2 linked regions of the Daphnia pulex genome follow. The protein of the gene in region 1 interacts with the protein of each later gene in a biochemical or structural test. Links are inferred from orthologs where the notes say so. Each region holds a gene or a part of one and is shown on either strand. Other genes may lie near its edges.

What was found.
Region 2: of the proteins of cdc42 homolog (region 1) and rho GTPase-activating protein 32-like, one has a biochemical effect on the other in vitro, tested with the Homo sapiens proteins (3 studies listed by BioGRID). The link is inferred for Daphnia pulex from reciprocal best matches to the Homo sapiens genes CDC42 and ARHGAP32.

The regions. Positions count from the first base shown.
Region 1 is NC_060017.1:3,183,238-3,187,658, forward strand, and holds cdc42 homolog, read right to left. Parts: upstream 2,665-4,421; 5' UTR 2,510-2,664; intron 2,306-2,509; 5' UTR 2,287-2,305; coding exon 2,182-2,286; intron 2,120-2,181; coding exon 2,047-2,119; intron 1,966-2,046; coding exon 1,856-1,965; intron 1,797-1,855; coding exon 1,599-1,796; intron 1,527-1,598; coding exon 1,437-1,526; 3' UTR 973-1,436; downstream 1-972. Other genes in the region: alpha-tocopherol transfer protein-like, read left to right, coding at 1-25, 115-279; nucleolar pre-ribosomal-associated protein 1-like, read left to right, coding at 3,273-3,302, 3,376-3,597, 3,667-4,194. UniProt on the Homo sapiens protein: Plasma membrane-associated small GTPase which cycles between an active GTP-bound and an inactive GDP-bound state. In active state binds to a variety of effector proteins to regulate cellular responses. Involved in epithelial cell polarization processes.
Region 2 is NC_060021.1:6,608,677-6,612,907, forward strand, and holds part of rho GTPase-activating protein 32-like, read right to left. Parts: intron 2,674-4,231; coding exon 2,561-2,673; intron 2,442-2,560; coding exon 2,339-2,441; intron 1,925-2,338; coding exon 1,729-1,924; intron 1,617-1,728; coding exon 1,437-1,616; intron 1,334-1,436; coding exon 361-1,333; intron 255-360; coding exon 1-254. UniProt on the Homo sapiens protein: GTPase-activating protein (GAP) promoting GTP hydrolysis on RHOA, CDC42 and RAC1 small GTPases. May be involved in the differentiation of neuronal cells during the formation of neurite extensions.

The sequences.
Region 1 (4,421 bases):
CTTATCAAACAAAATTCGTAATCGGGTTAGTTGTTTTTGTATGCACTTGTAGTTATCACCTTTCACTGTTGTAGACTATGCATCTAATGTCAGTTATTTGATTTTATCCCGAAGCTGTTTTTCCATGGTTCGTGCTTCAAAACATTGCATCACCACGTTGATCCCTCTTGTCTACCAAGCAATTACGATGGTTGTTTGGGGCCGATGAGTTCTATGCATTTCTCCAGCGTATTCTTTGAAGAGGATTACTACTCCAACATATTCGAATGTTTAAATTAAAAATAAGCTTGCTGCTTAATACGTATCAAATTCTATGAAAAAAGTAAAATTAATATATTTGGTTAAAATCACGGATTTATAATCTAAATTTTTATGCTTGCCTTGATTGATGATGATCATATCTTTTGTTGCTAAAAATTGTTGCTAAATAAATATAAATCACAATTATTTTCAACGGATTTTCCGATGTCTTTATAAATTCCGAGAAGAATTTGCATAAAAATTCAGCCGGTTATTGAAAAAAATTTACTTAAGTTGTAATATACAGTAAAAATAAAAACCTTTGGGGAGAGTAGTTAAAAAAAAATTCATTTCGCTGTCGCTGAACGACAGCTTATCAAAAACATGTGATAAAGTTCTATATTAGTTCATACCAACCAGGACTTTTAAAATTGAACTCGTTTTTCGTTTGTAGTAGATTAAAAACTGCTGATACACAAATAAATGACGTCAATGAGCAAATGAGTTGCTAACCAACCGGCAAAACTATTTATCAATGTATGATATGCGCAAGTGCCATACGCAATCTTACTTTCACATCTGTTCCAGCGATCCTAAGCGTCAAAAGTCAAATTCAATCAAATGTTTTACTTATATTAATAAAAATAGTAGCAGATTAGCCATAACATTGCGACGACGCAATCGTCCAATGTAGCGACAATTCTGAACTGACCAGCATTAATAACTGCAAGGTATAAGAGAAAATTTTATTGTATATTCTCTCCTATGCCATACAGACAAGTTTTGCGATGAGGATTACAATGATGAGGCCAAAGTTCTTTTGTTATGCTTACTTCTTTTTTTATGAACAAAGAAAGAGAGGAGAAAGGAAGGAGAGCAACAGAACAGGTATGTGTTATTTCCTAGATCGAGAAGGTAGAGGATGAATGAAAAGAAGATTGGAAGAGCGCGGCAAATGGCCTGCGAAACACGCGCACGCACACACAAAATAATCGAAACGATAATGACACGTTGAAACTGGTTAATGCAAGAACTGGCAAAAAGAACGTATCATCAGTATTTTGCTTTTCCATCTTCTCGTTGAATAATTCCATTGGTTAGTAGCAAGGTGTCATTTAAGAGTGTTTTTTTTTAGCTCTCCTTATTTTATATAAAGGAAATTTTATTTTGCCTGTTTTGCTGTCAATTTGTCTTGCTCACAGAATATTACACCTCCTCTTTTTGATAGGCTCAGGAGGTTCCAGTGCTGCCAAAATGGCTTCGTCAAAGACGTTCTTCAACCCTTTCTGCGAGAGACATAATCCAACAACCATGTTACCTATTTGCGACTATGGAGAAACAGAATTTGCTCGACTTACCTGAGTGAGGGCAGAGCACTCCACGTATTTCACTGCTTTCAGTTCGCGAGCTAGCTTCTCTCCCTGGTCGATAGTGATCACTCTTTGCTTATTTTTTGCCAACTTCTCTACAGTTGCCGCGTCGTCTCGCAGATCGATCTGCGTTCCAACTAACAAGAAAGGTGTCTTCTGACAGTGGTGTGTAATTTCAGGAACCCACTACAAAACAGGAGTGCATTAGTTTGCAGTTTTTTAATGATTGAGCTACTAATATTAACCTTTTCTTTGACATTTTCAAATGACGACGGTGAGACAACAGAAAAACACACCAAGAACACATCAGTCTGTGGATAACTAAGTGGTCTTAATCTGTCATAATCTTCTTGACCTGTTGTCATAAAATTAAGGAAATATTGTTAAGTAACAATGAAAAAAAATATATATAAATGAAGTAGAAAGGAATTCACACCTGCTGTATCAAACAACCCAAGAGTGTAAGGTTCACCTCCAATCATAACAGTGACAGCATAATTGTCAAATACCTAAAAAATGTCAAATAGCTGTTAGAAATAACATCTTGAGAGAGTATCACATGATAGCTTACTGTTGGAACATATTCTGACGGGAACTTGTTGGTGGTGTAAGAAATCAGAAGACAAGTTTTACCCACTGCACCATCCCCCACAACAACACACTTGATGGTCTGCATTGCTCCTTCCTGTCAGACTCTAAAATGAAAGGGAATAGATAACATTAATGAAATGGCTTACACAAAATTAGCAGATCACAACGAGATAAGCGGGCGAAACGAAACTATTCGACAGCCATTTTGATAGATAGGACGCTGGGCGAAAACACACACATAAAAGTGGAGTAAGACTTTGGTTTAAACCGGTCAATGAATAGAACCTCAAATCACTTTATTCACTTACGATCAATATCTTGAAATGTAGTATCAGCACAATTTGCTGAAAAATATTTAATATCCAAAAAAAAGCGGTTGTGGAAGTGACACTTGGAGAATATCAAGGCGTGAACGTCCCTGGTGCAACGTTGCCACTTGTCAGAAAATATTTCAGGACGCCACCGCTTCAACCGCAAGCAGAGCTATAGATACCTGGTCAGTTCATGGCTGTGTTGGCTTCCCTATCCCGGTTTCAGGGTAAACGTAAGCCGATTTTCAGGGGGTTTTAGGGCGGAGCCTGTCAGAAGTTGTGAAGTGGAAACTTTAAAAAGAGCCATCTAGTGATAAGACGTTGAGTTTCAAATAATACTTTCGGCGGCCATTTTTGTGTATTACGTGAAAGAAGCCTAACCATAATTTATGTAAAAATGGTTGGCAGGTGTGCTGTTCCTGGTTGTAAATCAACATATTACAAAGGAAATCAAAAAGAAAATGAGGTTACCCTGTTTGCAATTCCTAAAACTTCATTATCAAAATGGCAAGAAGTAATTCCATGTAGTAATTTGACGAGCACCTCACATATTTGCTCCCGTCATTTTAACGAAAGTGACTTTCAAACAGGGATTGAAATTTTGAACGTGTTCCATCCTTACAAACGGTGGACTCTTAATGCTGGAGCAATGCCCTGGAAACCAAAATTTTCTGTTAAATGTTAAAACCACCAAAGCTGTCCAATCATTGCATTATTTCTTGCCAAAGCTGCAGCCATCGTTCAAGATCCTTCTCACCCAATGTACCGTGCAATCAATAACTTTCTACTGGTATGTTCCTGTTAATTGATTGCAATTTCCTTCTCGTTTAAAACTTAAACGCCATTCCTTTCATTGTTTCTAGGTAAAATCGGCTATGGATGTTACCCAAGTTCCAGAATTTTTCGTCATGCTTCATAACACTGAACTACCTGAACAGAGGTCGCTTCAAAGGAGTTTTTTACTCAGCCTTCTTCAAGATGGCATCAAAAGTCGTCAGGACTATTTAGTGTGTGCTCGAAGAAGAGTCTTTCCAATCCTTCTCTCCTTGCAGCCATCCAATCTATTGTCCGACAAAACTGATAAGGTTATTTTTTTAGTAATTGAATTTTAGTTTGAGATTTCATCGAGACATTTTTCTTTGTTTGATTTACAGCGGCTCATACTTGAAGTCGTACAATCTTCACTTCAGAATTCAATCATTACCTATGACTTGATTCAACATCGTGGCCTTATCATGTGGCTTGACAGCCTCTTGCTGACCGACACCGTTGCAGATGAAGCTAGTCAGATGGTGTCGGTGGTGACGACAATGTGGGACACGCTCTACACTCACATGCTGAAGAAGGGAGAGTCGAAAGAAAAGGACGACGAAGAAGCTATTGCAAAACTTGAACAGGAGGTCGAAATGATGGAAGCCGAAGACGAAGATACCGCCGACAAAACCACTAACAAACCCAAGATGCAGAATGCTAAAATCAGTAGCAGAAAACCTATTTGGAATTTACTTCCTATGCAGCAACAAGTTATTGCTCCCTGGATCATGTGTGAGCTAATGCAGTTGATGGTCAATTTGTGGCATGTACTCTATGAAGCTGAGCCAAACTATGCTACGTTTAACAAATACGCCCGAGTATTATGCTCCGTCGCTTCACACATTCACGAATCCAAAAGCATCATTTAAGCAGCTCAGGAGAAGGATTTGAAGACCGTCCGGTTTGTTACCCCTCCCTGCATGCTGAATGTTAAATTGATGCGACAGCTCGTTGAAGTCTCATCCCGCTTTGTGAGTAATCTTCCCAATCTAAAGGATCATTTGGCAGTAGTTGAAAGTTCCAAAAAGAAATCCTCGGCTTGCCCAACAGAACTTAGTCGAAACTGGGAACGAAGACACAGGTATATGCGAGAACT
Region 2 (4,231 bases), on another chromosome or scaffold:
GCTGCTACTCCCACCACCGCCACTAATCTGACGGCTGGAATCGTCAGATAGCTTCTTGGATACGGCCAGCATTTCCCGGCTGTTCATAATATTCAATTCGCTGTCGTCCAGGTGGCTCAGATCGATCAATGACATCTTGGAGCTGCCGGAATGGGGGTCTTCCACCGCCGTCAGGTTCATGTTCTTACCGAATTCGAGACCTGGCGACTCGACGGACGGCGAGCCCCGCGTTCGTGTGGTCTCCTCTTTCGAATCTGAAATTTCATTAGCCATTCAAATATTTTATAACATCGTCCGACAGGCGGATTGGTGGGCGTCCTTAAATCAAATCATAAATGAGGAAAGGAGAGAGAAATTTACTTTTGGTTCCGGATTTTGAGATCTCAGCGTAAATGGCGTCGTTGGACTGTCCTGGCTGACGTGCGCTGGCTTCTGGACTGGCGTCGCCCTCCTCGTCCAGCGGATCGACTTGCATGCTGCCCGTCCGGCTGGTCATGAGCAGGCGGAAGTACGAGTCGTGAGAGACGGAGCGGTTGTGACAGCGGGACAGCGACCCGTCTTGAATCGACTCGTCATCGCCGTCGCCGGCCAATCGCACAGCCGAATCTTCGCCATCCCTCAGCGGTGACGGGCCGCTGCTGCGCTCTGACTGATGATCGGCCGGTTTGGCGGTGATGAGGGCTACTGCCTCGGCTGGACTCGTCAGTTGGCTGGACTCGCCGGCCGACGAGTTGCGGTTGGAAGCCACAAGAGATTCGGCGCTCTTGACGGGTCTCAATCTCGGCCGGACGTACGTCATGGCCCGTTGCGGAGTTGCAGACGAGCAAGAGCCGCCAGATCCAGCCACCTGGGCCGGCATGCTGACGGTGGAGCTGGTGCTGGCAGATGAGTTCTTGCGCTGGGCCTTGTTGGCGGAAGGCGAGCGGCCCTTGCTGGGCTTGGCGAAAAGTGATTTCCAGCCGAGCGGCGATTTCTTGTGCTTGAGGCTGTGGCCGCGCTTGCTGCGAGCGTCACCGTTGGGTAGCTCGATGACCGTGTGATACTTTGGCGGAAGCGAGGCTGGCCCACCGCCCACCTCAATGTACTGCGTGTCATTCTGACTGCTGGCCAGTTGCAGGGCCCGGTTGCGAGCTTCTTCCAGCGAGAGGAGCTTAGTCGGCGTCGAGATGGCCAGCGATTTGGGTCGGGTCCTCTTCAAGGCTCCGCCGCCGCCGACGCTGCTCGGCTGCTCGTCGCTGCTGAGCTGGACGGGGATGGCCGGCACCTTATCGCTGAAGATCAAATCGACGTACCGTACCAGACATTCCGTCACTACCGCTTGCACGCCCACTCCCTGCGTACAAAACATCCAAGACCAGATGCACAAAAAAGTGTTAGAGGCCCAACGGCCCGGGTTCCAGCCTTGCCTCTTTTTGTTTATTTTCTCTGTCACATACCTGAAGTGCAGCAACGCCACCAAATTCCAGTTCTTTGCAACGCAGCAAATTCGGCGCCCATACAATGGCCACATTCTTGGCCGTCATGCCCGTCGAGGCATTATTTTCTGCCACCCGCGCCAAATGTCGAGTCAAGTACTCGAGCGTGCGGAAATGAGGCGGCGGCAGTTGCTGGACCACCTGCGCAATGGGCGAATTGATTTTCGGATCAAAGAGATAAAAATGAGTTGAAATGCGGGTGAAACGAAAAATCGATGGGGCTTATTATTCGATTTGGTTTCAGGTTCCTTACCTCGCGCATTCGAACCACTCTGAGATGATCAGGTCCCTGGACGGCGTTGACGAACTGGTCGTAGAGCTGGTAGGTGCACAGCGGGTTGGGCAGTTCGCGGAAATACATTTTGAGCAGCGAGGAAACGGCGTGCATATCCTGTCGGATGGCCTCGTCCTCCACCAGAGCCGGCACCCTGTCCTCGTCAAAAGCATTTCTAAGTGGATAACCAAAAAAGAAAATAAAAAAAATAAAAATGACGGACAGAAAATAATTTAGAAAGTTTTTTTCCAGCCAGTCGAGAGTGCAAAACGGGAGCTGTCATGTCACACAATTGAAGGGGGGGAATCAAAATGGAGAAATATTTTTCGCGGGACAAAAAAAGGAACTTGCGTCACACGCTATCAGGTCATCAGCATGTCGAGAAACAGGTTTCTTTCTTATCGGACATGTTTTTTTCCATTTCTTTACCGTCGAGATTTCCCTCTGTGCACACAAAACGCAATCCATCTGGAGGCGCTCCTCCCCATCAAATGGGTAAATTGCGGGGTAGTCAAAACGAAGCGGAGCGGGATTGATTTGAAAAAATTGGTCGGGGGAGATAGAAAAAAAGCAATTGACGGCAATTCACCTGAGCTTTTGGATGTTGGAGGTGATGCCCGACAATCGATAAATGCCGTCGACGATGCCGTACTCCTCGATGAACTCGGCGCAGCATTTCAACACCATCGGAACTGGGGTAGAGCAACACACGCACAAAACGGATCACGATGATGAAATTGAGACATTTATGGGCTCGATTATTTATTTAAAAATGATTTGAAAATACAAAAAACAAGTAAAAGAGACTTACTCTCACGTCCCGAATTGAGCAAATGTTCGCCCAGGTCGCAGCCGAAAACGCGCTCCTTCAAGATGCCCGACTGCTTCAGTTTACGGCGAGACGGCCTCGATAAGATGAAACTCCTGTTTTTGGTTTTTTTGTTTTTCGTGAGCCAATCGGGGATAAAACAAACAAGATTAAGTTTCGAGACGAAAAGAAAACAGGAAAAAGAAACACACAGACACAAACACGAAAAACCAAAGCAAAAACACTACCTGCCCATTTCTAAATCGGTATCTCTTTTTCACACCATTTTCGAACCGACTGTCGTGAGTTATCGACACCCGTCACACGAAAATCACTAACTCGCCTTTTTTTTTCGTTTTTTCCCGAATGAAAATGTTGTCACAAGGTTATTTGTTTTTAAAAATTTAGGGTGGGAAATGTTCGATGCGCACTTGAAAGGCACGCGCAGTTTCGTAGAGAAGAAGAGCTACGGCACACGAGTTCCGACACTGGTTAGCACCGGGTGTCGACTGCGTGAATGTTAGCCAGACGCGCTTGACCTTATCTTTTACACACACTCTCACGTCCAATATAGGCGCTGGCATTCATCTTTTTCTCTCTCTCTTTCGTTCTCTCTTCCTTTTTCTGCGTTTAAAAAATAAGAAAAAAGAGAAAAAGTGGTGCCCAACCCACAAATCGCTCCTTTCAAACAAACGTCTTAAAAATATAAAAAATAAAATCCAGCAGCGTCGTGAAGAAGAAGAAGAAAAGAAAAGAAACCTTCGGGGTATCGCACGCGACGGGTTCAAAGGTGTTGAAAGACGATGATGAACGGTGCACAAAAAAACGAAACGAAACGAGTTTGTAGGGAAATTAGCAAAAGAGGGAAGGGACCGCAACAACATCAACAACAATTTAGAAAAAAAGGCGACAACTAAGAAGGGATTCACTTAACGATGCAGTTTGGAAGGAGACACACACAAAAGTCCACCGTCGCGCAAGCCGTCAACTCGGTGACTGATTCCGCGCAGCAGTACTTTTTTTCTGTGTGGGGAATCATCATCATAATCATAAAAAGAATGAACGAACGAAAGAGAAAGACTTTTTTTTTTTTCCACAATAGGGCGGGGTTTTGATGGAAAGAAAAAAACCCACAAGGAAGGCGGTTTGGACAGCGAGTAAAACATTTCTCTCTCTATATCTCTCCTCCTCGCTGGCTCGATCGTCTAATATTGTTTTATTTGATTCTCTTTTCTATTATTTGGCTTTTTCCCATTTCTTTCATTCCGTTTTCTACTATGTGTGCAGCACGCCGAAAAGAAATTTCACTCGGGCTCGGTCACGGACCGATAACTGCCACCTGGCGGGTTGTTGTTGTTGCGTTGTTTTTTTTTTTTTTTTTTTTTTTTTCTCCCGTTGGCGCGTCCTACTCGTCGAGTGGCAACCGGATCGCAGTCATCAAAGACTCGTTATCGATTTGACAAGTTCTCTGACTCGAGTCGACTCGTTTCTCCTGGCAGCTTTGAACATGTGAACAAATAAATACAACACGACATGGCCGGACTGGGCTGCCGACTATAGCGGGGATATGGGGTAACGAATGGGTGATGGGCCATGAAAAACAGGAAAAATATCAACGCATCCGGTATAGAAAACGCCAAATAGAAAAATTCTCTCTCTCTCGCTTTCCATTCT